Linked DNA regions of Macaca fascicularis. The protein of the gene in region 3 binds, or shares a complex with, the protein of the main gene of each other region. Links are inferred from orthologs where the notes say so. Each region holds a gene or a part of one and is shown on either strand. Other genes may lie near its edges.

The links.
Region 1: the proteins of C15H9orf78 (region 3) and SNRNP200 are in contact, whole or in part, in a cryo-EM structure (PDB 7OS2), measured with the Homo sapiens proteins. The link is inferred for Macaca fascicularis from reciprocal best matches to the Homo sapiens genes C9orf78 and SNRNP200. Residues at the interface, in NP_057604.1 of Homo sapiens: Arg5, Lys6, Ile7, Phe8, Arg9, Arg10, Arg11, Glu16, Ser17, Glu19, Glu21, Asp23, Ser24, Glu25, Val27, Arg28, Lys30, Leu31, Thr34, Arg35, Val37, Gln38, Arg41, Arg43, Pro44, Asn45, Gly46, Val47, Ser48, Ala49; in NP_054733.2 of Homo sapiens: Val1188, His1189, Leu1190, Gln1191, Glu1201, Pro1283, Ser1285, Arg1287, His1288, Leu1289, Asp1729, His1730, Asn1769, Tyr1770, Asn1772, Gln1774, Gly1775, His1780, His1784, Leu1788, Gln1791, Asp1795, Gln1798, Ser1799, Tyr1826, Thr1827, Glu1830, Leu1831, Met1834, Ser1835.
Region 2: C15H9orf78 (region 3) and DDX39B share a complex: the UniProt entries of both Homo sapiens proteins name them as parts of the spliceosome. The link is inferred for Macaca fascicularis from reciprocal best matches to the Homo sapiens genes C9orf78 and DDX39B.
Region 4: C15H9orf78 (region 3) and PPP1R8 share a complex: the UniProt entries of both Homo sapiens proteins name them as parts of the spliceosome. The link is inferred for Macaca fascicularis from reciprocal best matches to the Homo sapiens genes C9orf78 and PPP1R8.
Region 5: C15H9orf78 (region 3) and TTF2 share a complex: the UniProt entries of both Homo sapiens proteins name them as parts of the spliceosome. The link is inferred for Macaca fascicularis from reciprocal best matches to the Homo sapiens genes C9orf78 and TTF2.

What each region holds. Positions count from the first base shown.
Region 1 is NC_088387.1:1,368,505-1,374,257, reverse strand, and holds part of SNRNP200 (U5 small nuclear ribonucleoprotein 200 kDa helicase), read left to right. Parts: coding exon 1-193; intron 194-619; coding exon 620-772; intron 773-880; coding exon 881-961; intron 962-1,251; coding exon 1,252-1,335; intron 1,336-2,016; coding exon 2,017-2,123; intron 2,124-2,429; coding exon 2,430-2,548; intron 2,549-2,821; coding exon 2,822-2,976; intron 2,977-3,063; coding exon 3,064-3,253; intron 3,254-3,451; coding exon 3,452-3,625; intron 3,626-4,593; coding exon 4,594-4,754; intron 4,755-5,337; coding exon 5,338-5,565; exon of another isoform or gene 5,566-5,709; intron 5,710-5,753. UniProt on the Homo sapiens protein: Catalyzes the ATP-dependent unwinding of U4/U6 RNA duplices, an essential step in the assembly of a catalytically active spliceosome. Plays a role in pre-mRNA splicing as a core component of precatalytic, catalytic and postcatalytic spliceosomal complexes.
Region 2 is NC_088378.1:140,192,520-140,198,272, reverse strand, and holds part of DDX39B (spliceosome RNA helicase DDX39B), read right to left. Parts: intron 5,351-5,753; coding exon 5,223-5,350; intron 4,957-5,222; coding exon 4,864-4,956; intron 2,826-4,863; coding exon 2,642-2,825; intron 2,592-2,641; exon of another isoform or gene 2,516-2,591; intron 1,632-2,515; coding exon 1,513-1,631; exon of another isoform or gene 1-1,512. UniProt on the Homo sapiens protein: Involved in nuclear export of spliced and unspliced mRNA. Component of the TREX complex which is thought to couple mRNA transcription, processing and nuclear export, and specifically associates with spliced mRNA and not with unspliced pre-mRNA.
Region 3 is NC_088389.1:14,077,894-14,083,035, reverse strand, and holds the end of C15H9orf78 (splicing factor C9orf78 homolog), read right to left. Parts: intron 3,994-5,142; coding exon 3,857-3,993; intron 3,750-3,856; coding exon 3,651-3,749; intron 2,699-3,650; coding exon 2,607-2,698; 3' UTR 1,735-2,606; downstream 1-1,734. UniProt on the Homo sapiens protein: Plays a role in pre-mRNA splicing by promoting usage of the upstream 3'-splice site at alternative NAGNAG splice sites; these are sites featuring alternative acceptor motifs separated by only a few nucleotides. May also modulate exon inclusion events.
Region 4 is NC_088375.1:207,232,185-207,238,724, forward strand, and holds the start of PPP1R8 (nuclear inhibitor of protein phosphatase 1), read right to left. Parts: upstream 3,869-6,540; 5' UTR 3,847-3,868; coding exon 3,791-3,846; intron 1,934-3,790; coding exon 1,873-1,933; intron 285-1,872; exon of another isoform or gene 119-284; intron 1-118. UniProt on the Homo sapiens protein: Inhibitor subunit of the major nuclear protein phosphatase-1 (PP-1). It has RNA-binding activity but does not cleave RNA and may target PP-1 to RNA-associated substrates. May also be involved in pre-mRNA splicing.
Region 5 is NC_088375.1:117,298,267-117,304,019, reverse strand, and holds part of TTF2 (transcription termination factor 2), read left to right. Parts: intron 1-1,949; coding exon 1,950-2,094; 3' UTR 2,095-2,132; intron 2,133-5,622; exon of another isoform or gene 5,623-5,662; 3' UTR 5,663-5,753. UniProt on the Homo sapiens protein: DsDNA-dependent ATPase which acts as a transcription termination factor by coupling ATP hydrolysis with removal of RNA polymerase II from the DNA template. May contribute to mitotic transcription repression. May also be involved in pre-mRNA splicing.

The DNA.
Region 1 (5,753 bases), on a different chromosome or scaffold from region 3:
AGTGAACTGGCTGGGCTATGCCTACCTGTATATCCGAATGCTGCGGTCCCCAACCCTCTATGGCATCTCTCATGATGACCTCAAGGGAGATCCCCTGCTGGACCAGCGCCGACTAGATCTGGTTCACACGGCTGCCCTGATGCTGGACAAGAACAATCTGGTCAAGTACGACAAGAAGACGGGCAACTTCCAGGTGCGTGGGGTGAGGGTTTTGAGGCAAAGGTCTCAGCAAAAGTTACTGGCCCAGGAGAAGATTTTCCAGATTGCTCTCGACGTGAGCACTGCCTGTCTAATCACCCGTTGCTTAGAACAGCAGAAAAGTGGTTGCTTTTCCTGTAACTCGAAGTGGATAATTTAGCTGTCTTGTCTGTGCAGGCATCATTTCACTATGGGTCAGCTTATTGTGCCATTTTTCTTCATGTGCCTGGGCCTGGCCTGGCACTTGCACTGCTGTGACTTCATCCAGTTGTCCTATTAGGACAATAACTTATAGGACATTGAGTCATATACTTTACCAAAAATCGCACAAAAAAACCTATAAGACAATAACTTACGGTCCACAGTTAGAGGCGGGAGCTCATTAGTAGTCAGCACTGGATTGAGCCAACCTTCTCTCCAGGTGACAGAACTGGGCCGTATAGCCAGCCACTACTACATCACCAATGACACTGTGCAGACTTACAACCAGCTGCTGAAGCCCACCCTGAGTGAGATTGAGCTCTTCCGAGTCTTCTCGTTATCCTCTGAGTTCAAGAACATCACAGTGAGAGAGGTGAGCTATGCAGTGTGCTGGGGCGGGGAGTTGGTGCTCAGCGAGTTGCTGAATGGTTTCCCTCCTCGGCCACAAGGCTTTCCCTTGACCTTTTCCTGCTTGTGGCAGGAGGAGAAGCTGGAGCTGCAGAAGTTGCTGGAGAGGGTGCCCATCCCTGTAAAAGAGAGCATCGAGGAACCCAGCGCCAAGGTGAGCGCCGCTCCTCTTTGCTTTGGTCAGGATGAGGATTAAGTGGTTTTCATAATCTTCTAAAAGATGAACCTTGAATTTGGGTTCATGTGTGGTAGCCTGCTCAGTTCTCCTAGTTTTTGCAGCCTTCTCGCATGTTCTTTTTATATGAAATAACAATTATTTAGTATTTGTAAATCAAGACCTGTAGAAGATCTCACCTGGCCTGGATGCTCAGAGCAGAAATGTAATTCCCTTTCTTGGACTGTTCAGTGGTTGGTCTCCTGCTGGCTGATTTTGCTTCTTTACAGATCAATGTTCTTCTGCAAGCCTTCATCTCGCAGCTGAAATTGGAGGGCTTTGCCCTGATGGCTGACATGGTGTATGTCACACAGGTGAGGGTGGAGTTGTATGGGAGCTGTGAGAAGGGGCTGAACAGTTCAGTCCCTGTGTTCTGTGTGCCTGCTGGGAAAAGGAGGCCTGATGCTAGTGAGATGGAAGGAGTGTTCAGTTCTGCTCTTGCGGGGTCATTGGTTGGTGCATGTGTGGTACAGCCACTCTGTAGTACACATCTTGAGCACGTGGGAAAGGTAAGACCTTAAGAGGGAAGGCTTCAAGGCTCCACAGGCCCTCAGACAGGAAGAGCCACAGCACACGGTGTCTGCTTCCCGGCAGCGAAGTGATGTCCCACTGTTGCTGCACAGCTCATAAATAAATCCAAAAACGGCGCGGGGTTTTATTAGCTGCTCTTCATCTTTACCTCTAAGGACAGGTCACTGTACCCTCAACTCTTCCTAGAACTCTAAATGCTAAATGAGTCAAAAGCTTTAAAATCATGCAGTGAATGTTAGGTTAAAATGTTGTGCGGTGACCTTGAGCCGCACTTTTCTAATTGTTCCCCATTCGGCAGACATCTACTGTATAGGAGGGAGAAAGGCGTAAAGACGGGGGACTTTGCCTTTGAGTTGGGGTGGGTGGTTGTGTCAGAGCTGGAGGTAATGAAACCGTGTGCAGAGTGGCTCACAGGCTTGGGGATAGTCAAGACTTAACAGTGGGAATGATGCTTCTTTGCCTAGTCGGCTGGCCGGTTGATGCGAGCGATATTTGAAATTGTCCTGAACCGAGGTTGGGCACAGCTTACAGACAAGACGCTGAATCTCTGCAAGATGATCGACAAACGCATGTAAGGACCCAGTGATCCGGATGCTGGTGCCCATGAGTGGGGTCCCCAGCCCAAGGGTCGTCTGATCTCCAGACCCGACGTCTGAAGTCTGATCTGAACCTTGTTGCATGTTGAGAAGAGGGAAGGCCCTCTGTGGTCGGGCCGGGGGGTAGGAGAAAGGTGGAGGCCAGGGCTGGCACAGCGTCAGTGTCTGCCTTTAATCACTGTGTCTTGTGTGGTCACTGCTGAACTTTCGGAAGCCATGATGTGGACGGTTTGTCACATCCCTGCAGAAGGGACCAACAGCTTTGCCTCCTTCCTGGATAGGTGGCAGTCCATGTGTCCTCTGCGCCAGTTCCGGAAACTCCCTGAGGAAGTAGTGAAGAAGATTGAGAAGAAGAATTTCCCCTTTGAGCGTCTGTACGACCTGAATCATAATGAGATCGGTGTGTGAGATGCTCTTGCCCTTGTCTTCACTGCCTGGGTGTCTCTCCCAGTCTGCCTACGCAGTCTTCCGTTCCTAGCCCTGTGCGTTAGTATCCTGTGTTCCCTCCCCAGGTCCCATTGAAGGGCTGGCCCTTGGTCTGGGGACTTGGAATCCTGGGCTCCACTGACCATAAAGGGAAGGCCCTACTCCTTTCCTGCAGTGGCCCTCAGGCCCAGTTTGCCGGATAGTGGGCAGGCTGGGCTGTAGCCTTAGTACTCGCATTTCCTCGTAGGGGAGCTTATCCGCATGCCAAAGATGGGGAAGACCATCCACAAATACGTCCATCTGTTTCCCAAGTTGGAGTTGTCGGTGCACCTGCAGCCTATCACACGCTCCACCCTGAAGGTGGAGCTGACCATCACGCCGGACTTCCAGTGGGATGAGAAGGTGAGGCTCTGCTGGGCAGAGGAGCTGGATTGGTGGCGCGCTGTCTACGTTGACTCGCGTTCCTTTCACCCTTGCTTCTGTTGGCAGGTGCATGGTTCATCCGAGGCTTTCTGGATTCTGGTGGAGGACGTGGACAGCGAGGTGATTCTGCACCATGAGTATTTTCTCCTCAAGGCCAAGTACGCCCAGGATGAGCACCTCATTACGTTCTTCGTGCCGGTCTTTGAGCCGTTGCCCCCTCAGTACTTCATCCGAGTGGTGTCTGACCGCTGGCTCTGTGAGTGTCTCCTCTCTCGAGTCCCCAGGAACAGTCCCTCCAAGGACAGTAGAAGAATGTCTTGCACTTTGTCCCGGGCTTGCCTTTGCTGGGGACAGAGTGATACATATGCTGCCTAGGTTTCCAGTGTCCATGGAGGGGATCTAGAGGCCAGTGAGGTAAAGAGAGCTTATCTCCTTCCTGCTTCTTTTCTGGTAGCTTGTGAGACCCAGCTGCCTGTCTCCTTCCGGCACCTGATCTTGCCGGAGAAGTACCCACCTCCAACCGAGCTTTTGGACCTGCAGCCCTTGCCCGTGTCTGCTCTGAGAAACAGCGCCTTTGAGAGTCTTTACCAAGATAAATTTCCTTTCTTCAATCCCATCCAAACCCAGGGTAAGTGTTTCCATCCCTCCTCTGGAGGCTTTTGAAGTCACCAGGAGACAGATGTGTTCTGTGGCAGGCAGGGGAGTGGGGGCGCTCAGGCACTTGGTAGGCCTGGGAGCTCCTCAGCGTGACCCCTGGGGCCTACCGGGACTTTTTCCTTTGTCAGAAGCCTTGGTTTCTTTGCTGCTCTGCATGTGTCACTGTGGAGGGGCAGTAGAGCAAGGCCTTACATGGCATGGTTATTTCTCAGGCCCAGGGGGCTTAGAGGCCTGCCCCTGGCACTCAAGTATTGAATCAGAACCATGGCGTGGCACTGAGGCCTCCTCCCCCACATCATGATAAATAACAGGGACATTCACAGAGCAGGCACTGTGGTCTCAGTCCTTGGCTGAGTACATCACCAGTGTTTTGTCTCTTACTCCTCCCACCAAGCCTAAAAGGAGTCACTGTTGGAGATACTGCCATTAGCGTTCCATTTTATAGGTGAGGAACTGAGGCATAGGGGGTGCCCCAGTTGAACCAACTGGTAAATAGAACTTGTATTTTAATTCAGTGTTGATGCCAGGGCTAAGGCTCTTACTTTCTACCTTAGGCTGTTTCTAGGAAATGTAGGAGAGTGTTGAAGGGGCAGAGAAAGGGATCCAGTTCCTTTCTGTCCTGCATCCTAGTCCCTGAGAAGCAAAGAACAATGTGTGGCTTCTTTTGCTTTGCTTTTGTTGTCATCCCACACATCTCCAGGGGACCTGGGCTCTTGATCTTGGCCTCTTCCCCTTTACCTGTTAAGTGGTAGCAGGTGAGGGGGTACAGCAGGGCCGGCCTGGAGTTAGAGGCTCGGATGCCACTGCTCCTCTGTCTGCACTCCAGAACTGCCTGACTTCATTTCTTATGTTGTCCTTTGTTTTGACAAGTGGTCCACGTCCCAGTCCGTCTCTTCTTCCCTCTTGGTACTCACACTGCTTCTTTCTGTTGGTTTCCAGTGTTTAACACCGTGTACAACAGTGACGACAACGTGTTTGTGGGGGCCCCCACGGGCAGTGGGAAGACCATTTGTGCAGAGTTTGCCATCCTGCGGATGCTGCTGCAGAGCTCAGAGGGGCGCTGTGTGTACATCACCCCCATGGAGGCCCTGGCAGAGCAGGTATGACATGGCGCTGTATCACGTGAATTTGCCCAGAAGCATTTCATCTGTGATTCCATATGAAGGCTTTTTTAGGCCGGAAATTTGCAGGGTCATTTCTTCAGTTTGTGTATTAAAGAAAAGCCGCCCCAGCGAGGCGTGGTGGCTCACGCCTGTAATCCCAGCACTTTGGGAGGCCGAGGCGGGCAGATCTCCTGAGATCAGGAGTTCGAGACCAGCCTGGCCAACATGGTGAAACCCCGTCTCTACTAAAAATACAAAAACTAGCTGGGTGTGCTGGCACGCGCCTGTAATCCCAGCTACTCGGGAGGCTGAGGCAGGAGAATTGCTTGAACCCGGGAGGCGGAGGTTGCAGTGAGCCAAGATTGCACCACTGCACTCCAGCCTGGGCAACGAGAGTGAGACTTCATCTCAAAAAAAAAAAAAAAAAAGAAAGAAAAGCTGCCCCATCACATAAAGGCTGCTGTGGGATTAGAACGTAGCTTGAGATCAGCAGGTCTCTGGCATCTCAGGTTTTCCTCAGGTAAGTGAAAGATGCCTGGTATGACCTCATGTTGTTCGGCCTCCCTCCTCTGCCTGCCAGGTATACATGGACTGGTATGAGAAGTTCCAGGACAGGCTCAACAAGAAGGTGGTACTCCTGACGGGAGAGACCAGCACAGACCTGAAGCTGCTAGGCAAAGGGAACATTATCATCAGCACCCCCGAGAAGTGGGACATACTTTCCCGGCGGTGGAAGCAGCGCAAGAACGTGCAGAACATCAACCTCTTCGTGGTGGATGAGGTCCACCTTATCGGGGGCGAGAATGGGGTATGGCGCGACCTTGCAGCACAGATGAGGGACTGGGACTGACCGAGTGACCTTGGCATTGGGCCTTGCATTTGGGTCTGAGGACGGAGGCTTGGGGCTTCTCCCCGGAGGATTCTGCCTGCTGCCCTATTCCAAAGGGACAAGGTCAGCTTTTTTGGTAGTACTTTAGGAAAACAGTATTGTTTAGT
Region 2 (5,753 bases), on a different chromosome or scaffold from region 3:
CTGAAGGGGAGGAGAGTAACAAAGACAGAAATTACCACAACTCCAAAACACAACTTTCCTAACACTTTTGTACTTCTCTGGGGGAAGATAGTTAATATTAAGACCCAGAGGACAAAATAGGAAAGGATGGGTATGTCATGGGAAAAAACAGAAGCCCAATCCCAAAAGGCAGGTTTTGATACAGGGTCTTACTCTATCACCCAGGCTGGAGTACAGTGGCACAATTACAGCTTACTGCCGCCTCCGTGTCCCAAGCTCAAGCAAACCCTCCTGCCTTAGCCTCCCAAGTAGCTGGGACTACAGGCATGCGCCACCACGCCTGGTTTTTCTGGTAGAGACAAAGTCTTACTACACTGCCCAGGCTAGTCTCAAATTCCTGGGCTCAAGCAATCCTCCCATCTTGGCCTCCCAAAGCACTGGGATTAGAGGTGAGCCACCAGGCCCAGCCAAGGCAGGCTTTCTAAAGAGAAGTTCCATGGCCTTCTTCAAATCTCATTCTAGCCCCAAATAAAGCTAAAGAGTTATCATCCCACGGGAAGGAACACTGCAGGGAGAACACACTCCACTGCTTATGCAATTGGCCCCACCTAGCCCCAAACCCTAACACCCACCCGATTACATCCACTTTACCTTTCCTATGTCCCTCTCCTCTGAGTATTAAAAAAAACAAAAAAATTTTTTAAGGAAAAAAAAAAAAATCTACCACCCCATTGAGGACACCCCTCCCCAACACATATGGGGGGAAACGGGGCACGGCACGCGTTGGGTTCAGGAAAAAAACCGGGAACGGAAAAAGAGGCTGGTTTGGTCCTCAGCTTCCTGGTCAGGTTTCCCCGCGGCCTCCGCTGCCGCCATCCACCGCTGGGTGCCGTCTGCATTCCCTCGCCGCGCCACGGTGCTTCTCTGTTGCCGGCTCACATCAACCGAGGTTCCAGATGGGTGCAAGGAGATGTGGGTGGGAAGGAGTAGGGTATCGGGGATTGAGGTGCCAAAGGCCCCCACCCCTGGAGGTGGGGAAGGGGAGGATTCATTTGTGCTGATGCTCTTCTTTTGGACATGCCCTGCCATCTGTCTGTCCCTCTCTTGCTCTCCTGCCACCGGAAAGTAGGAGTTTTGGTGAGCAGAAGGCTCCAGCTGTATGCTCGACGCCACCTTGACAGTGCGTGGCTGTAGGGGGCACGTAAGAGACGATGGGTGGGTGGTAGGGCAGAAAAATTCTGCCCTCCCCCAAAGGGAGAAGAGGTTCAAAAATGTTGTGATTTTTGAAAAAGTCGAACACTACCCGCTCTCACATTAACCCGACCAAGTCTTCCGGAGTTTCCCTGGCACCCGCGCAGACCCTAACACTAGCTGTCTCTGCTTCTGTATGTCTCTTCAAGGAGTCATTACTCCCAGTTGGGCACAAGCCGCCTTCTTGGCACTTGAATGACAAGGGAGTCTGAGGAAGAGGGCGAGGAAGGGGAGGAGGCAGCGGGCGGGGAGTGGAGGGAGAGAAGGTAGAAGGGTATTTACATCTTGCATGAACTTGCGGCAGACTGGACGGATCTCTTTGCTCAAGGTAGCACTGAACATCATGACCTGCTTCTCGTGGGGGGTCATGCGAAAAATTTCCTGGACATCCCGACGCATGTCTACAAGAACAAGGAAAAAAATTGTAGGAGAAAATAAGCAAGTATGATAAACAAAGATTAGAGGTAGACTTTCCAGTGAGGTGAAGATTGCTGGAAATAGTAATAACACAACGGAAAAAGCAATGGACTTGGAATCAAGAATTGGGATCAGATTCCAGCTGTTCGTTTTAACCAAGCAAGAAATAAGATAAAACCCCAAAGTTCCCAACTATAAAACGGGGACAAAGCCCAGTGCAGACGCTCTCAAGGCCTTCGAAACATGCTTTACAGGCCCTTCTCCCAATCCTTTCCTGTCCAAGCCCCAGCCAGCCCTCAGGAGACTACAAGTATCAACCATATATTACATTCCAGGTAGCAGAGTCCATCTATGACTCTCTGGATCACTTTTCTATCAACTCAGGCAAATATGACATTGCTACCTGGAGCCCACCTTTATAACTCACCACACTGAATTGCCGAAGACCATTTGTAATGACTTATGGGGCCTATGTCCAACCCCACACTCATTCACCAAGATTCAAATCTTACAGAAAAAACTTCCATTAACCCCACTTGGCACACTAGAATACCACACCACACGAACTGCTACCCTCTCTACATTAATCCCAGACCTGAGTCTAGAAACTTATTCAGCTATAAATTCTGACTGTAAATGCTGTGCTGGAGATGCCAGAAGGGTACTGTCTTCTCTTTCAGTTTAGAATCTCCCCTATGACTTCCAGTATAGGAATCTATAATGAAAACGGTGGTGGTGGTGATAACTTAGGCCTGAAATTACCGAAGTCCCCTATTCTCAAAGATTAAAAACAAAAATCATAGAAAGATGATAGATGACATCCTTTACTGTGCTTAAAAGCATAATAAAGCCCAACCAGGGAACCCAGAGCCATCAGTCATGGGTGATAGATAAGAGTCGTCCTTGCACTGAGGCGCTCCTGTTTCAAATAAACATCATTTGGCTCCAAAGAACAACTCCCCAGCATTAGCCAAGTCCCAGCACTGCCACTCACCGAGCTGTTCAAGCATCTTATCACATTCATCCAAAATAAAGTGTTTAATGTGTTTGAGGTTGAGGCTCTTATTTCGAGCCAGGGCTAGGATACGGCCTGGAGTCCCCACGACGATATGCGGGCAGTTCTTCTTCAGCACCTCTTCATCCTTCTTGATAGACAGACCACCAAAAAAAACAGCAACCTGCCGAGAGCCAGGAGCAAAGAGTCTCAAAAAAGAGGAAGGAAAGAGTCCAATCCCCCCAGAGTTCCCACTGTTTGAGCTAAACCAATTTTTAGCATGTTTCAAAACTAAAACTAACTCTAGAGGTCACCTAATTTAGAAATGTTATGTCCCCCCACCAAACACTGAGGGTGACTGCCTAAAGTTACATAGCTAGTCGGAGCAGTCAGGACAATAATTCAGTTCTTCTGACTTAATCTAACCATCTTCCTTCATTTATGAGGCCAAGCCTCATTTTAAAAATAAAGGAGTCAGGTGTGGTGGCGCACGCCTATAACTCCAGCTACTCGGGAGGCAGAGGTTGCGGTGAACCAAGATCTCACCATTGTACTCCAGCCTGGGCAACAAGAGTGATATTCCGTCTCTAAATAAATAAATAAATAAATAAAATAAAGCCAGGCCCGGTGGTTCACGCCTGTAATCCCAGCAGTTTGGGAAGTCGAGGCAGGTGGATCACTTGAAGCCAGGCGTTCAAGACCAGCCTGGCCAACATGGTGAAACCCCATCTCTTCTAAAATACAATATTTACAAATTTACTACTAAAATACAAAAACTACAAAACTTAGCCAGGAGGCTGAGGAAGGAGAATCGCTTGAATGCAGGAAGTGGAGATTGCAGTGAGGCGAGATTGAGCCATTGTACTCCAGGCTAGATGACAGAGCGAGACTCCATCTCAAAAAATAAAAAATAAATAAATAAAGGACGGCAAGAAATTACCAGGATTAGTATAAAGTACCACAAAAAAACACATGGAACATTAAGTTTTCCTAAATAAACCCAGAATCTCAAACTCCTTCATACAAACCCCATGAAATTACTGCTTTGGGTGAAATATTATCACTTCATGTTAAAACCATTAGGTGAATAGTTGGTTAGGGATCTGGGCCTTGGTACAGTGTCAAATAACACCAGAAACTCTAGTTTTAAGGGGGAAAAGAATGACCATGGAATCAGACTGTCACGATGCTAATCCTATGGTAAACCTAAAATCACTAATGAGGCCAGGCACAGTGGCTCACACCTGTAATCCCAGCACTTTGGGAGGCCGAGGTGGGTGGATCACTTGAGGTCAGGAGTTCGAGACCAGCCTGGCCAACATGGCGAAACCCTGTCACTACCAAAAAAAAAAAAAAAAAATTAGCCGGGTATGATGGCACACTGTAGTCCCAGCCACTCAGCAGGTTGAAGCAGGAGAATCGCTTGAACCTGGGAGGTGCAGGCTGCAGTGAGCTGAGATCGCACCACTACACTCACAGCCCAGGGGACGCAGCAAGACTCCATCTCAAAACAAATAAATAAAAATAAAAATAACTAACATAAGTCAACCCGATTTCTGGCACAACAGGAGATACAGCATCACCTATGAAGGATAATTGCCAAAAATGCTTAACTTCAATCAGATTTTTTTTTTTGAGATGGGAGTCTCACTCTGTCACCCAGGCTGGAGTGTAGTGGCACAATCTCAGCTCACTATAACCTCTGCTTCCTGGGTTCAAGCGATTCTCCTGCCTCAGCCTCCCAAGTAGGTAGGACTACAGGTGTGTGCCACCACGCCCGGCTAATTTTTGCATTTTTAGTAGAGACAGGGTTTCATCGCATTGGCCACACTGGTCTCGAACTCCTGACCTCAAATGATCCACATGCCTTGGCCTCCCAAAGTGCTGAGATTACAGGTGTAAGCCGCTGCGCACTTGGCCAGAATCCTCAATATTCACACACCCCTGAAGCTGTTTTAAAGTTTCTGGCTTTCTCTGCCACACACCCCAAAATTACCAAACTGATAGGATTCAAAGTCAGTATAAAGTAGTAAAAAAAGGGTGGTCTCGGTTAAGCATCATCCATAGCCCAATTACGAATCCTCCCGTTACATAGGATCTTAACACTGTTAAACCATGGCAAACTAAAACTTCTCCAAAATTAAAGAGACTACTGGCCTACAAGTTTCTTATCCCTCCAACTTGCCACACCCTCACTCTGAGGTCTCTTTACCTCGGCTTACCTTGACATTGGGCATGTATTTAGAGAAGCGCTCATATTCCTTGCTGATCTGAAAAGCCAACTCCCGAGTGTGACACATCACCAGCACAGACACCTTAGGCAGGAAGTAGACCGAGACATACCATGAGTGTAGCCCTTCATCGTTCCCTCTAGGGAAGTGACTGACAAAAACACACCTGGGCCGATAATAAATGACTTCAATTCTGTGATCTAAATCACGAACCCCATGCTTGGATAGAACATTCCCCACAGCTGTCAGGTTGTCAAGGGTAACCGAGGTCATCATGTAGCTAGGACAAAAACACCCTTCCCTTATAGTCCTAACCAAAACCCCTTCCCCAGCACTCTCCCCAAATATACCTGCCCAGTAACTGGCTCCAGCTGTTGCAGTGTGGCCAACACAAACACTGCTGTCTTTCCCATGCCCGACTTGGCCTGGCACAGGACATCCATTCCCAGAATGGCCTGAGGGATGCACTCATGCTGGACTAAAAGTGGGGAGGAAAGATAAATTAGACTTCAGTCTCCAGATAACTCTACAACCTTTTTCATCATGCCAAGCCCATTTCTTACCACTCAATTCTCAAAATCTAGTATTTACCTGGTTCTTGCCAACTTCCAGACCCCTTTTACCTCTCTCTGCTCAATTATATTCACCTCAAAATCAGACTCTCCTAATTCATCCCAGCTTTGGCCTCCTCCAGATCTAGGCCTTCCCAGTCCTACTAACAGCCCCCTTGCATCTACCAACCGCTCACCTTCAATGCTCCTGGCTCTGTCCTTATTTTTCTTAATCTGTAACAATTCATGACATCTGAATACCTGCTAAAGACATTTCTCCTACTTAGGTTGCCATACTTCGGGTCACATAACAACAACCCGGGACAAAAT
Region 3 (5,142 bases):
GCAGAGATTATCTGGAATTCTGCATGGGAGATTTGTTTTTTCTCCCCCATGTATTCAATCATTTATATCAGTATGGACCATTGTTATTTTATCCTTTGTGTTATAATACAGTACTAATTTTTTTTTTTCTCAAATTGTTCTCATTTTGGCCACGGGGAATTTAAGTGGTTCTTTGTGTTCCTTTGACCTACACCCAGTGTATACCAGTTTATTTGGGTTTGAGTGCTTCTTTCCTTTCTGCCACTACAGGATGCTCCAGGCTCATCTTGTATATTTCCTGCCCCCGTCCCAGAATCCTATTTCTACGAGGAACCCTGATTCCTTTCATTGTAGAATGGCATTACAAACTGGCTGGGCATGGTGGCTCGTGCCTGTAATCCAGCACTTTGGGAGGCTGAGGCAGGTGGATCACCTGAGATCAAGAGTTTGGGATCAGCCTGACCAATATGGTGAAACCCCATCTCTACTGAAAATACAAAATAATTAGCTGGGCATGGTGGCATGTGCCTATAGTCCCAGTTATGCAGGAGGCTGAAACAGAATTCCTTGAACTCAGGAGGTGGAGGTTACAGTGAGCCGAGATCATGCCACTGCACTCCAGCCTGGGTGACAGCGAGACTCCATCTCAAAAAAAAAAAAAAAAAAAAAAAAAAAGAAAGAAACCAAGCTCTGGGTGCTAGGTGTGCTTCTTGCTGAGATGTCATTTCTTTCAGGCAGTCTCAGCTGACAGAACAAAAAAATGTGTGTATATACTATTAAACACACACACATATCTATAAATATTTCTAGGTAAACATCTGTACTTATATTAAGCTAAACATGAGCTCATGCTGACATCTCCAACTCTAATCCATTACACGGATCATTGGAGCCTCCTCCCCTTGCTTATCTGTGAATTCCCACCCCAACAGTGAGAGACCTGGCTCCCTCCATCTGGTGGCCACTTTTAAGCTGGGTAAAAGATTACTCATTTTCCAGCAAAGGGAACTCTGGCAAGTGAGAACTGTTGATCATCCACTTATTTGCCTGTTCATCCCATAAACACGTGTTGCGTTGCTGTGTGCCAGATGTGCTAGGCCTTTAGTATTCATCTTGGGTTACGCCTGTACATCGTTGGGACCTGTTAAATGCTAGTTGAAATATCCTGAAAATATTTTTTAAGGTTCAACTTTTCATATTGGATTTCAAATAATACTTTTGTGCATTTGTTACAAGCCAGACACTATAGGGATCATTCACAGTTTTGAGGGCTGCCTATGTGTCAGATTGTGGGCTATGCCCTGGGGTTTCAAATTTAAAAATTAGGCATACATGGTTCCTGCCTTCACTGACCACATTCAAGTGGAGGAGGACAAAAAAGTCTCCACTTTACAGATGAGAAAACTGAGGCTAAGAGTGAAAAGGATCTGTCCAAGGACACAATTAGTAAGCTGTGAGCTGGGCTCAGATGTGACTCCTGGGCCAAACCACCATAACCACAATACTTGCTCTAACTCCGCCCGTAAGTCAGCCAATCTGCTCTTTCCTCTTCCGGACCATGTGGATGCCTCAGGAAAAATGAGGGCACAGGTAAGAAGGTACTTGACAGTTAGCAGGTTGCAGCACGTCTATGACATTTGAAATAAATGAGAAAATCCATCTCAGTAATTCAATTTTACATTTAGCTACCCAAACCATGGGCTTTGAAAACATTACCTGATGTTGGTATAAGGAAACATAATACAAACAATATGGTTAGATTCATTTTGAAATTTAATAATTCAATTCTAATAGTAATAAGAAACATAGTTTATGCTTTTTTTTAAATGAAAACAAACAAGTAATTTTGTAAAAGTCAGAAAACACCAGTATCCTTCTGATCTCATCCTAGATTTTTCTGTCAGTTGGACCCACTCTAATCAATGGAGGATGCATGTCTGACCCCATCCCAGATACGTGAAAGCAGAAGACACGATGCATCTATAATAATGAAAGCACAATCTAAAGGGTATTATCACACCGTGAACAGTTTCTTCCTGACCCAGAGCAAATATTAAAAGACAATATATTTACAAACAAGATTTAATAATGCTCACAAGAATAGAGTTTGCCCCCAAATGGAAAATTACACATTGTTTTGTTTCAAAAAGTTATAAATTTAGTGCCTGAAAAATCCAGCAGGTAAGCAGAAGGACCAATAGGGTCTGTTTCTGGAACTGTTCGCTAGCAAATGAGCATGCTCTGTCCAGGAAGCCCTTTTTCTTTTCTTTTTTTTTGAGACAGTTTTGCTCTTGTTGCCCAGGCTAGAGTGCAATGGTGCAATCTCGGCTCACCGCAACCTCTGCCTCTCGGGTTCAAGTGATTTTTCTGCCTCAGCTTCCCGAGTAGCTGGGATTACAGGCATGTGCCACCATGCCCGGCTAACTTTTTTGTGTTTTTAGTAGAGACAGGGTTTCTCCATGTTTGTCAGGCTGGTCTCAAACTCCCGACCTCAGGTGATCCGCCCACCTCTGCCTCCCAAAGTGCTGGGATTACAGGCCTGAGCCACCATGCCCGGCCAGGAAGCCATGTTTCACGGGAGGGATATAGGGAGAGGAAGGCGCTATTTACATCCCACTCTGCACAGCTCAGTACCGCCTATTCATTTTCTTGAACTTCTCATAATGATAGTCATCAGTTGCCTTCTCGTTAGCAGGACGCTTGCGGTTAGGAGGGGACCCTGAGAAGGAAAAGAACAGGAAAGGTGGCTTGCCATGCTGGAACCCACTGCTAGACTTTACTCCAGGTAGGCAAAGACAACTGCCTGTTTCCTTCCCCACAGGAGCCCCAGCGCCTAACCCAGTGAACATAGTAGGGCCTCCGTAGACACTTATTTGTCTTTTTCTTCTTATTTTGAGATGGAGTCTCACCCTGTTGCCCAGGCTAGAGTGTAATGGCATGATCTAAGCTCACTGCAACCTCCAACTCCCGGGTTCAAGCGATTCTCTTGCCTCAGCCTCCTGAGTAGCTGGGATTACAGGCACCTGCCACGATGCCTGGCTAATTTTTGTATTTTTAGTAGAGACGGGGTTTCACCATGTTAGCCAGGCTGGTCTTGAACTCCTGACCTTAGGTGATCTGCCTGCCTTAGCTCCCAAAGTGCTGGGATTATAGGCGTAGGCCACCGAGCCTGGCCAATACCTTTTTCTTTTCTTTAAAAAAAAAAGATGTGGTCTCACTCTGTCACACAGGCTAGAGTGTAGTCGTCCAATCATAGCTCACTGCAGCCTTGAACTCTCAGTCTCAAGCGATCCTCCTGCCCCAGCTTCCCCAGCAGCTGAGACTACAAGTGTGAGGCACTGCACTCAGCTAACCTTATGAGTAGCTTTTATTTGTCCTTACTGAAATTTTCTGACTTCTTGAGTCTCTACTGTGCTTGAGAATATGAGATTGTATGCTTGATACTGAATTCTCAGAGCAATCCTAACACAGGTAGGTTCTATTAGGATTCCCATGAGGAAACTGAGGCTTAGAAAGGGGAAGGCACATAGTCATGGTCCAGAGCATGGACTGGAACCCAGATGCCCCAGCTTCAGTGCCAACCTCCACACTGTCCCCCGCTGCACCCTGCCTCCATGGGCCCCCACAGAGCTGAGCACTCCAGGCAGCCCCGGGGCCTTTGTTGCACTCACGCTCAGGCTCTGGCTTCTCCGTGTCGCCTACTCTCAAGGGCCGGGCCTTGGGCTCTTCTTTGTTTCTCCGGATGGGTGCGTTGAGCTCTTCATGATAAACTGGACCCAAAGAGACCAGGGGACACATTAGACGGAACATGAGGTTCCTAGGGACCTCAGCCCAAATAAGGGAAAGGGGACAAGACCGCTCTCCCTGAGGGGCTTACATCTGTTGTGCTGCACGTAATTCACGGCCATGTTGGTAGGCACGAAGGAGGTCTCGCTGTCTTTCTTCTTGTTCTGCTGCTCTGCCAGCAGACGGGCCTTGGCATCCTCCGTGGAAATTATATTTTTAATTTTAGCACTATGGAGAGAAAGAAACCATACCACTTAGAAGATGGTAGCACCTTACTACTCAGATGTGAGTGGTGAGGCTGGCAGCCCAGCAGGACATAAGAAAATCATGTGTCCTGGGACACAGCTCTCCAGTTTACCAATCACACTTGTAGTCACATTCTCACGGAACTCTCACGGCCGTCAGAGAACCACAGTTACTCTGCTCTTCTGATCAAGAGCAAATTGAGTTTCAGAGAAGTAAAATGCTTAAGGCTCAAAGTTTGCAAGGCCGGAAAAGAGCCTAGAAGTTTCCCAACTTTCTACTGTACCAAAAGATTATTCTGACAATTGCACTTCTTTCATGACAATTCCCTTTTAAAGTGGATATTTTGTTTTAAGAAGGATCATAGGGAGAAGGGGTGGGTGAGCCTTTAACATGGCCCCTGCTAGAAGAAAACAGAAGAATAAAGGGCCTGATACAGCTGTCAACAGAGGCTAAAGAACCACTTCTGCTTTCAGCAGCCAGGGGCCCTTACTACTCTGGCCAAGCCTTCAGCAAAACTTCTAGCAACAACCTGCCAGAGACAATCTCGTTTGTATTTGTAGGATTCTAAGAACACAGATAAGAACATGGGGTCTCACTACACTGCCCAGGCTGGTCTCGAACTCCTGGGCTCAAGTGATCCTTCCACCTTTGCCTCCCAAAGAGCTAGGATAACAGGCACAAATCACCATGTCTAACCTTTTTTTTAAAAAAAAAAAAAAAAAAAAAAAGACAGGGTCTTACTCTGTCACCCAGGCTGGTGTGCAGTGGTGCAATCATGGCTCACTGTAGCCTCAACTCTGAGCTCAAGTGAGAGCCCAGCTAATTTTTTGAATTTTTTGTAGAGACAGGAGTCTATGTTTCTCAGGCTGGTCTCCTGGCCTCACGTGATCCTCCTGCCTTGGCCTCCCAAGTACTGGGATTATAGGCGTAAGCTACCACACCTGTCTCTCATAAATTTTTTTTTCTTTTGAAATAGAGTCTCATTCTGTCGCCAGACTGGAGTGCAGTGGCATGATCTTGGCTCACCGCAACCTCCACCTCCCGGGTTCAAGCCATTTCCTGCCTCAGTCTCCCAAATAGCTGGGATTACAGGTGCCTGCCACCATGCCCGGCTAATTTTTGTATTTTTAG
Region 4 (6,540 bases), on a different chromosome or scaffold from region 3:
AATGTGTCAGATGTTGAACAATGTGCTGCTTCTGTCCAAGTGACTGAAATAATGCACTGGCTTTCAACAGTCACTAAAGCCATAGCTTCTTGACTAGCTATGGCCAGTACCACTATCCAGTTGTGCCTCTGAGTTATAACTCAGAGTGTATCTTTACACACTGGGCTTAAAAGACTCATGGCTTTTGTTTTAATGTTGCACTTCTTAAACCCAGCTATCACAACACATCACAAGCCTTTGATACAAAGCTAGGATATAGATAGCTAGGTTAGTATCAAGTGCTGATTAAGTTTAAATCTAAAAATAAGCACATCTCAGGTCTACACCTCTCAAGAATACAGTGATGTCTGAGGATTTTAACTTGACAAGTTTGTGGCAACTCAGCACACTTAACAACACCGAAAGAGAACGTTATCAGCTAATAGAAACCAATGATCAGGGGAGTGTCTAGCAAGTTAGAGTGTTTTGAAAATATAATACCAATTATTCCACAAAGGAATGTGATGTTATCATTAAGACTAGGCAACCCTGTCTGTTTCTTCCTGTTGCAAACTAAAGATTTGCTAAATTCTAGTAATAAAACAAATCTCTATATGTCTTCAAGCTTTGTGCTATTTAGCAACAAATATTTTGTAACTGTGGAACAATCCGTAGTAAAAAAAAGTTTTACAGATATTTTAGCTAAATTATTTCTTTGAATAATCTTGAAGTTTTAAATCTTTAAGATTGAAGAACCCATGATAAAGCGGCTCTCTGTGACTGGCTGAGTCCATGATGTATTCATAACAGGAGAAATCATTAAAACTCATGCATGCCTTAATACTTTGCAAAATACCTGGTCATCTCTACAAAATCCCAAAAGTGACAACAATATATTTACAGAGTAACCTTCAAAAGATCTCAGATAGCTTTTCAATCTAGCAACCATGGAACTGCAACATTTTTATTAAATACCAAAAAACCACAAGGAAAAAACTGCATTCAATAATGGGGCCTTGAACCTAAATTCTAGCTGAGCAAGCAAATATAAAATTGGTCTAATACAGGGAGACTCACAGCTACATGGTCATGGTGGGCTTAATATCCATCTCTTGGTAAATAAATAATACCATAAGGATTATAAAAAATTTACGTAAACTAATAGCTAATAAAAACTCATGTTCTCTTGAACTCCTATGTGATGTTCTCTCTAGAGGCTTGTATAAAAGCTGGAATTCTGCTAAACTTTTATAGTACTTAATTCAAATATAACTATGTAATTTTTTGGTGTGATTCTGTCTCTTCCACTGGAAGACTTGAGGAGAGAAATCATGTTGGTTTCGCTTACTGCTGCAATCTGTAAGCCAAGCACTGTAACTGGCACATAGTAAACACTCAATACATGTTTTCAAAGAATCAATTAATGAATTTCACCACAATTCCATTATCTTTTTGAGTAAGTGTCGTCTTAGTTTACCATATTTCTTATAAGGAGTTGGGCCTGAATCTCTTAAAATTAACTTAAAAGTTAAACTCAACATATATCATTCACTTTCTTCAGTTACTGCATACCTTGCACGGTTTACACAACTCCATGTACTCAGGGAGAGGGAATTAACCAAGCTAACAGGGCTTCCAGTTTGACTGGGGCCCACAGGACCCATGACCTATTAAAACCATTCATTTGAGAGAAGTCACAAAAAAGTGAGTGTCTGTGGTAGATACAAGCTTTAAGTGTGTGATGTCACCATGTGCTTTTAACAGAAAAAAAAATCAGGATGAAAGAAAGTAGCATTGCTGGAAAACAAAGCACAGGAGAGGGGGTGGAAAAGTGAGTCACTGGCAAAAATCTTTAGCGTGGTGGGCAAAAAAGGAAGACATGTATTTCCATACCTCAATTAGTTTGTCTCCTTTGACTACATCCAGATGTAAACCGGGAGGGGGCTTACCTGCCCTGAAAAATAAAAATAGAAAAAAGCATTTTCACGATGAGTTTATAAATGCAATTTACAATCACTGTCCCATTCAACATTGCAGCTCTCCTACCAGCCAGCCTATAATTAGTTCATGTTCAAGCAGAAATGTCATCCACTTCACTGTTATTACAGCTCCATTCTACGTTTGACACTTACTTCCCTAGTGATTCAACTGCTCTGAAACAGATTTTAGTGGATCTGTATTTAGAGCAGCACCAAGAAACCTATATTTTAACACTGGATCTTCACCTCAGAGAAAGAGCTGCATAGAGAGTGTAAGTACGATAGCTGGAGTGGTCTGGTCACCTGGAGTTTGAATCTGAAATTTACCCCTACTCCAATATCATATAAAGATCGAATAAATTAGTTGCTGTTTGGGGCTGATCAAGATTAGTCTCATCACAGAGTAAGCAGAGTACTGTCCTGAGCTCTGAGACCAAATCAGAGGTGCATAATTAGGGAACTAGGGCAATTCAAAACCATGCCCCATGAAACCAGGTACCAAATGAATATGTTACCCTTGAACAGGTCTTTCTACAACAGCATGATTAAGGGAAGTTTCCTCTATACTCCTACAGCCATATCATTCAAGGGAGACTCACATATGTCAAAGCACCTAACAGTGCCTGGTACCTACCAGACCCTAAGGAAAGGGTAGGTGATCTCAAAGCAGTGCTTTCTAACTACGTTTGCTGTATTGGTCCAAGTTTGAAATCAATACAGCGAAGGATCAAAACGGATATAGAATTTGTAGACTGAAGCAACCATTACAAAAGTGCAAAGCGATCCAGAAAATAGCCACACATTTGCTTGCTTTTTGGGTTTGCTAATTTGAAGTTAGAAAAAAGAACCACCTCACTAGAACCTCTAGATTTGCACACGAAAAAAACGTATCCTTGTCTAGCTAACTGAAGATGCAACACAGTCATCTCAAACAATCCTGCCCCAACCCCTCCTCTATGGAAAGGACAGTGCACCGGACAAAAGGCCATTTTGTCCACGAAAAAGGAGGAATGTTACATCCAAAATATACTTTCTGTATGTGCCTGACTCAGGCCTTGGAGCTGGGAATACAAAGATGCAGTATTTGCCCTTGACGATGGCAATATAACGGGAGACAGAGACAAGTAACAAACAATACACTGCGATCAGCTACAGCAGAAAAAAACTCTTAATTTCAGAAGCGTTTCCTTGTAAGGTAATTCATATTTATTCAACTTGTACTCTACTCAAAGGCCAAATTATTTCATTATTCTCAAGAACTTTCGAAGGGATAAAAAGGGTTCATGCCAGCCATTACTAATGCCTACTCGTGCCACAGACTGGGAGCTCCCTGAGGGCAGGGAGGGCGCTAACCTACCCTCGTGTTCTCTGTGGCAGACAGAAAAGTGCCGCACGAGGGATGCAGCAACCAAAGAGGGATGCGGGGCTCAGACGTAGGGTTGGGGCAGGGGCTGGCTCGAGAGCGCTCGGGACGTACAGGAAGGGGCCAGGTACGATGCTCCATGAGAGCACCAGGCACTCAGTCAGGAGTTGGGCGTAAGTTCGGGCAAAGGCCTCAAAGCGCTCCAGCGACTGGCTAATCGCTCAAAGGGGCTGCCTAAGTGAGCGCCTTTGAGCCCCCAACCCCGTGTTTCTTCAGTTCCTGGGCCTGGGCTCCAGGCTCTCGGTTCTTCAACACGTCGCCCGGCCCGGTGCAGCGAACAGTTTTTCCTCAACCATTCCAGGGTTTCTGAGCCGTTCGGCTCGCAGCAGAAAAGTAAAAAAAGAGCCGCCCTTCCAGCCCAGGCTAGCTCCGGCCAGGCCACTCTAGCCCTGGCCGCCCCGCCACTCACCAGGTTGGGCAGTCGAACAGCGGGAGGCTGGAGCCGGAGTTTGCGGCTGCCGCCATCTTGCGTCTCCCCCTCCCATTTGGCGGGCCCGAAGCACGCCGGGAAACTGGAAGACCGAAAAGGGAAAAGCGGCATCCCAGCAGCCTGTGCGTACGCACGCTCACGCACGCACGCGCGTACGGGGGGCGGTGCTTCTAGTGGGGACAGTGTAGGTTTTGGGATTTTTTTTTTTCCACCGTTTGTGCGAGTTGGCCGTCTCTGGAAGTCTCCAGTGTATGGTTTTCCTTGGCCAGGGGGTATCAAAGGAAAAGCGACTTTGTAGGGAGGGGAGTCAGTCTCTCCCTGCGTCCTTCTGCAAACGCTTCTGGGCTCTAAAATCTTGGGACTAAGCCGGGCGCGATGGCTCACGCCTGTAATCCCAGCACTTTCGGAGGCTGAGGCGGGCGGATCACTTGAGGTCAGGGGTTCGAGACCAGCCTTGCCAACATGGTGAAACCCCGTCTCTACTAAAAATACAAAAATTAGTCGGGGTTAGTGGCACATGCCTGTAATCCCAGCTACTTGGGAAACTGAAGCAGGAGAATCGCTTGCACCCGGGAGGCGGAGGTTGCAGTGAGCCGAGATCGCGCCATTGTACTCCAGCCAGGGCAACAGAGCAAGACTCCGTCTCAAAAAAAAAAAAAAAGAAAAAAGAAAAAAAGAGAAGGAAAAAATCTGGGGACTGCATCCTCCTCCAACGTTTAGGTTAAGACCGTCAGCCTTTTGCCCTCAAAGCAGAGAAGCTAAAGGGCAAAACTTGGAGATTGGAGTGATTATTGTTTCTACTTATCCAGCCCTTCTCCAAAAAGTGGCACTTTACTCACTTTTTTCCTAATCCACGTCTAGGCCTGTAGATTATCAGGGAATCTGCATTAGGGGTCACCTGGTCTGTTTATGAAAACTCTGGACAAGCTGGAGCCAGGAGCAGGTCCAGTCAGAAAGCAGGGGTCCAAATCATCACTGTGCTTGGCTCAAATGGTTAATTTTTTAAAAAAGGATTTTTTGCTTTTGGTTATAGTGCAAGGAAGCATTAGGATTGCTGGTTTGCCCTAGATCACCAGATGACTGAAAGAGACCATTAGCAGGGCCTCTGGTTGTAATGGCATTGTCTGTTGAGCACTTACCTTGGCAAGTATGTATTTTATATGGATCATCTCATTTAATCCTGACAAGGCTCTTGAGTTAGGTATTATTATAATTCCAGAGGAGAGGCTCAGAGAGATTGAGTTGCCCAGCCTCACCCTAGAACAAGTGGTGAGTGGGATAAAAAAACCTAAACCTGTATGATGCCAAAGGCCATGCTCATGAATCACTATTCTCTCTCACACTTTGATGTTGGTATAATTATGTTTATTATTAGCATGCAACTGATGCCCCTCTTCTTCACTTTTGTAGACGCCTTGGGAGGATTATCTGACTGGTTTTTCCTTTTTTAAATAAATCAATTGCTAAGTTCCTGTCATCCAGAAAGAGGCACTGCTCAGCAAGTTAAGGAATCTATGATGAAAGTAGTTCTTTTCTTGCTTCCATGCCACTGGTTCTGTAGAAAATCAGCCTATTCAAAAGATTTTTTGCCCTTGATGAAGTCTCCAGCCCTCAAAATGTAACTGCAATATAACTTAGAAGGAGCAAGATGATCCAAAAAGTAACAGCAATATAACATTAACTTGGATTTGAAGATGATCAACTCTTAGGTAGATTGGAGAAACCCCTTTTCCTCTGGCCTTTAAAGCACGATAAACTTATCCAGCAAGGATGGTGACTAATCAGATCACTTATCAAATGGCCTGTTAATATCCTCCTTTTCAGCCTTGTGATTCCAAAGTAAGACTAGGCTGACTGGAAAAATTCAAATTCTAAACTTGGTTTCAAGAAAACAGAAATAATCCTATGTCCCCCTCTTTTGAATACAGGGCATGATTTTTGAGAAGGAATTAGTCCCAAAAGCTTTTGAGTCTAACAGAAAAGAACAAGATACTTTCATCTACAGAAATCGTGTGAGCCTTTTGAGGTTCTATGCTCCTTTTAGGCATAACATGGTATTGAAGCCATTCCTAGTTAGCAGTGACCTGATAGCATCTTATGGCAACTTTGTCTTTCAACTTCTCAGCTTGTGTGATCCTTCTATTGCTGACTATAGACCCAGGAAACCTAAAAGCTACATCTTACCCTTCTAATTCTTTACTCCTTGGCCATGTTCTGTTTCTAGCACAGTAGATATTCACACATGGCACCTTATGCTTACCTAGGCCCTCATAAAGCAAAATGCTCTTTGTTTGGGCACCAATGATGTCAGTATAGACCAGCAAACTAGAGGACAGCAATCTAGGTCCTTAACCTTTTAAAATAGACTGATGCACTAGCTGCCTTTGGATTTTGGTATCTCAATAAAGAGATTAGTATCTTGGCCTTTGATAGATTTCCTTAGAATAAGATCTAAAGACATTAGGAGCATATTGAGGTCAGAAAACTTTTTAAAATTTTTTGATTATGTTTTGAGATGGAATCTTACTCTGTCACCTAGGCTGGAGTGCAGTTGCAGGATTTCAGCTCACTGCAACCTCCACCTCCCAGGTCTAAGTAATTCTCCTGTCTCACCTTCCCAAGTAGCTGGGATTATAGGCATGTGCCACCACACACCTGGGGTTGCACCATGTTGATGAGGCTGGTCTCGAACTCCCAACTTCAGGTGATCCACCTGCCTCAGCTTCCCA
Region 5 (5,753 bases), on a different chromosome or scaffold from region 3:
TTCAATCTCACTTGTCCCAGTAATGTCCTTCACAGCAAAAAAGAATCCCAGATTCCGGTAGCATGCAGTTGTCATAAGTTTGTCTCCTTTGATCTGGAACAGTACCCCAGTCTTTGTGTTTTATGACATTGACATTTTGATGAGCATGAGCCAGTTATTTTGCAAAATGTCCTCTATTTTGGACCCCCTTGTCTTTAAAAACAACAAAACCTGCCTTAATGCTGCCAGTCCCCTCTCACAATGGCCCTGTTTTTCTCCTTCCTTTTCATGACCAGGTTTCCTGAAGAATTAGGAATCACTGCCTATTTTTACTTGATAACTTCCCATTCATTCCTCAACCTTTGCAAACTGGTTTTTACTCCTGTTGCTGCACTGAAATTGCTCTTGTTAAGGGGCACCAATGACTTCCAGACTTTGCCAAATATAGTGATTATGACAGTCTTCCTATGCTCTCTTCTCTGCTTATTCTGTGCATTCTTTCCTTTACAAATTCCATGCACTCCAGTAAGTCCAAAATTCATATCTTTAGTTCCAAGGTCTCCTAAACTTTAGATCTATCGCAGTCCCTGCTAAATATCTGAATCCGAGTGTCCACATACTCATCTGCTATCCTTTCTTTTATTCATTGTTCATTTGAGCATTCAGCCCATAAAACATACCTTTTGAGCACCCACTATGTAGCAAGTATAATAACATGTTTCAGGTATTCAAATGTTACAAATCAAAATTGATTTTCTCTTCCTATTACCTCAAATCTGCTATTCTTCTGTAGTCACTGTCTTTGTGAATAGTATCACTCTTTATCTAATTATATCTAGCCAGAAACTAGACTCCCACCTTTCTTGCTTTTTCATGTACCAAGTCCTTTAGTTGTATTTTCTAAATGTTTCTGATAACCATTTCTTCCTTCGCATGCCCACTGCCAGGTCCCCTCTTCCCACTCCACTGAATTCTGTCCTCTGCATCACCACCAAAGGGCTCTTCCTAACTAATCAGTCTGATTGTGTCATCCACTTCTCATACTCTTCGGTAGCTCTCACCTCCTATAGGATCAAATCAAAATGTCTTAGCATGACATACACCGCCACCCGTGATCTGGCCCTGCCAGCCTCTTGAGCCTTTGCCATTTTGGACAACATGGTGAATGTGAACTTCCTCCAATACACCATGCTCTGAAACTCAGCCATGGTTTTGCACCTCTTCCCATTCCCTGGGGTGCTCTCCTCACTGCTCTCTCTGGCACACCCTTGCCCATCATACAAGTCTCATATTAAGAGTTAACTCTTTAATGGAGCCTTCCCTGACTACTCTGGACACATTTCCTTTTCTTCCTTTTGCACACAGCACATACTTCCATTATAGCACTTACCAGGTCATATTATTATTGTTGTTTATTTTCATGTTTGTCTCGCTTGTGTCCTGCTCCAGAGAAAGACCGTATTCATCTCTCCATCCCCACACCTAGCATAGTGTAGTGAGTGCTTAATCAATACTTTTGAATGAGTGAATGAATGACAACAGTGCCATTTACTTGGTTTGAAAACCCTGTTTTTAGTGTGAATTCACTAAAAAATAGATACTCTACTTAAACTAGCAGAAATTTGATAACCTTTGAGGCCTTATGGACTTACCAAGGTAGAACTTTTCAGGTGAAAGTGGATCTCTATACTTTTTTGGATTGTGGTATCTTTTGCTTATTCTGAATTTTTTCAATTACCTTAGCTTCACAAAGTATTAGAATGTCAATGTGAGTCACATCCTTTCAAAGGGACATATATCTAGTCAAGGTTGTTTGAATCCCTCAAACAGGGTTCTTAACTGGACCTAAGAAGACTTAAAGGAAGAAATCTCATTAAAAACTGAAGCATAATAAAAGTTTGAATGTATTATTAGATGTGCTGCTTTGGTTTTTGATAGTTTGCTTATTTTTTTTTGTTTTTGTTTTTTAGATTTGTTTGTGAGGGAACAGTAGAAGAAAAGATCTTACAGCTCCAAGAAAAAAAGAAAGATTTGGCCAAACAAGTTCTATCAGGGTCTGGAGAATCTGTCACCAAGCTCACCTTGGCTGACCTCAGAGTCCTTTTTGGCATCTAACCTCCCATGGATAAGGGCTCAGAATAGCACCATTGCTGGTTTGTATTAGGATCTGGGAATAACAACCTAATCATGAGCCTTGAACTCTGTTCTTTGCATTTCAATTTCACCATCAAGCCTTTCACCTTCCTCAAAATGAGGCATAATCTTATCCCCAGAATTGAGGAGGGGTTATGTTAGCCAATTAGTTAACCAATTATGTTAATACGTCAATTTATTTAATGAGTGGTATGGAAACCATTTGATTTTTTTAGATAAAAGAAAATATTTTAGAGTTGGATGATTTTGGAAAACAACTCTTGCAGAATTGTACATAAGCTTCAGTAAAGTTAAAAAAGCGGGCCAGGTGTGGTGGCTTATGCCTGTATTCCCAACATTTTGGGAGGCTGAGGCAGGAGGATGGCTTGAAGCCAGTAGTTCAAGACCAGCCTGGGCAACACAGTAAGACCCCATCTCTATGAAGAATAAATAGATGAGCTAAGCGTGGTAGAGCACACCTGTAGTCCCAGCTACTTGGGAGGCTGAGGCAGGAGGTTTTCTTGAGCCCAGGAGGTTGAGGCTGCAGTGAGCTGTGATTGTACCACTGTATCCCAGCCTGGGTAATATAGTGAGACCCTGTCTCAAAAAAAAAGAAAAAAAGCTCAAAAAGTTCTGTGTTGCCTATCTCTTCTTAGCTGATGATGGGAGAACCACTATTACTACCTTCTGTAACACAGACGCCATCCTATCTCTTTTTTTTTTTTTTTTTTTTTTTTGAGACGGAGTCTCGCTTTGTCGCCCAGGCTGGAGTGCAGTGGCCGGATCTCAGCTCACTGCAAGCTCCGCCTCCCGGGTTTACGCCATTCTCCTGCCTCAGCCTCCCGAGTAGCTGGGACTACAGGCGCCCACCACCTCGCCCGGCTAGTTTTTTGTATTTTTTAGTAGAGACGGGGTTTCACCATATTAGCCAGGATGGTCTCGATCTCCTGACCTCGTGATCCGCCCGTCTCGGCCTCCCAAAGTGCTGGGATTACAGGCTTGAGCCACCGCGCCCGGCCTCATCCTATCTCTTCATCTCTTCTTGCCAGTGATGTTGCTCCTGTAACCATCTTTTTGTGGGTGGAGCAGAGAGTCGATCCCTGCAGCCACCCTGCAACCAGCCATCTCTGCAGTTCTCTCAGTGCAGGCAGTTCTTCCTCTCAGACTGAAGGTCAAGGAGATGCTTTGTACATGAACAGATGTTGAGTATCTGTATCATTGTATTGTTTAGTGTCAGTGTATCATTTAGTGTTGTATATCACTCAGTCATTTAATATTGGTTATCACCATATCGTTTAGTATCATTTGGTTCATTGTATCATTTAGTATTTCTGTTATATCATTTCTATTATATGTAGCATTTGTATAATATTTGTGTCATTTTTAATAGTATTTGTATTTTTACAAATTTATAGTATTTGTAGCATTTAGTATCTTTGTTTCATTTAGTATTTGGTATAATCTAATAAATACTAATCCAGTCCAATACTAATCCAATCCAATACTAGTAATACTATTGGTACAATCCAATACTAATAATACTAACAGTAGTATTGACACAATCTAATAAATAATGTGTTTGACAGTGTAGCAGAAATAATGCTATGTGTTCATCAAACCCATTTCCTTTTCCTCCCGGGCACCCAGAGAGACTGTATTTCCATCTTGGCTGCAGTTTGATGGGGTCCGCATCAATAGACTGTGGAGAGAAGTGATGTAAGTCACTTCTAGGCTGCCCTCTACCACTTTTCAAAAGATCATTCATGCTGTTTCTTCCCTCCTCAGCCTATGGGATGCAAAGGAACTGATGGAAGATTACAAGGCCCTAGGGAAGGTGAAGCCACTAGGCTCAGCAGTTCTTAGCCTAGTTTTTGGCCATCAGCCCTTCTATTAGACTAGTAAAGCCTCAGTCCCGGGATGGCTTCCCCATGTGCACTTCCCCCCTCGCACCAGCTCACCTACACTGGACTATGACATGATCAAGGAATCTTTTTTTTTAAGCTACTGAGATTTTTGTGTTGTTTATATAGCAGTTTGTACCCTAATACAAACACTTGAGATTTTATACTTCAGGAAACTATTCAGATTTCCTTCTTCTCATTAGCAATTATTCCAAAAACACTTACTCTGCTAATTTCTGCTAGAAAGAATCACAGTTCTTCTTACATAGAAATATTTCTCTCCCTTGAGTTGGGAAACAAGAGCCTGTGTTAACCCAGTCACAGTGTGGACTGAGGCATTCGGAGCCTGTTCAAGCAGAGGTTTTATATAAGGACAAGATCTAAAGGCTTACAAAGGTAAAGACAATGGCCTGGTTGGAAGAATTCTAGTCTAGAACTGAGACTTGACTCTAGTTCTAGGTTCATCTTAGCTGGGTGTATAACGTTGAAAAAAATTGGCCGAATGCAGTGGCTCATGCCTGTCATCCCAGCACTTTGGGAGGCCGAGGCAGGTGGATCATGAGGTCAAGAGATCAAGACCATCCTGGCTAACATGGTGAAACCCTGTCTCTACTAAAAATACAAAAATTAGCTGGGTGTGGTGGCACGTGCCTGTAGTTCCAGCTACTGGGGAGGATGAGGCAGGAGAATCGCTTGGACCCGGGAGGCGGAGGTTGCAGTGAGCTGAGATCGCGCCACTGCATTCCAGCCTGGCGAAAGAGTGAGACTCCATCTCAAAATCAGTCAATCAATCAATCCTCACTTTCTCTACATTGTGATTTCCTCATTTGTAAGGCGGGCAGTTTTCAGAACTTAGCAGCAGCAAGGTTTCTGATAAGAAGCAAAGGAAGTAATATTGCCTTTTTGAAGTTTTGCTATAAGATAGACACACCAAGGTAAAGATTGAGTCACTTGAGAAGCAGTGGCTCCCAGGCCAGCAAGAATGTACAAACCTGGCTCTGCCATTTGCTGACTGAAATTAGGCAAGTTGCAGATTCCTTGGACATCTCAATCCTTTCATCTGTAAAATGTGTGGATTATCATGTATCTCATGCTCCGCTGGGAATATCATAGCAAATATATATACTATAACATGTTTGACCAGATAGATCAGTAATGTCAACTAGAAGGTGTTGGACGAACATTGTCAGTCTCCAGTCAAGCCCTGTTTAGGGGAGAGGAATTCTTTCAGGTTCAAGTATTCTGGCTTTTAGTTTGGAGAGGGATGCAGGGATTGTAACCTATAATCTTCAGATATTGAGGCCACTGACAAGTAGTCTACTGCAAGGTAGATGCCTCCTGGTATTTTAAAACAGATTCTCTAATTTCCCTTGTTATTGTACGCAAGCAAAGCAACCTAGTTATGTCTTGGGTAGGTGTTCTCATAGCTGTAAGATGCTATTGATTTGATGTGGATGCAGAAAGAAATGGAACCACTGCCTTAGTGGGATGGAATATACCAAACATGCATTCTTAAATCCTAGTGCTGGGATGGAAATGTCTCATGTATTAATGGAAGTGGCATTCTGGTATCCTACCTCAGGCTCATATTCATTTTAGTGTAAATCAGTTTCTTTAGGTATGACAGGGTGGGTCATTGTACCTTCTAGCGATGGACAGCATCCCACAACGTAGTGGTCTAACTGAAGTGCTGCACTGAGTCCTGCCTGTCAACCAGCCTTCCTTCATGCGACTACTGCT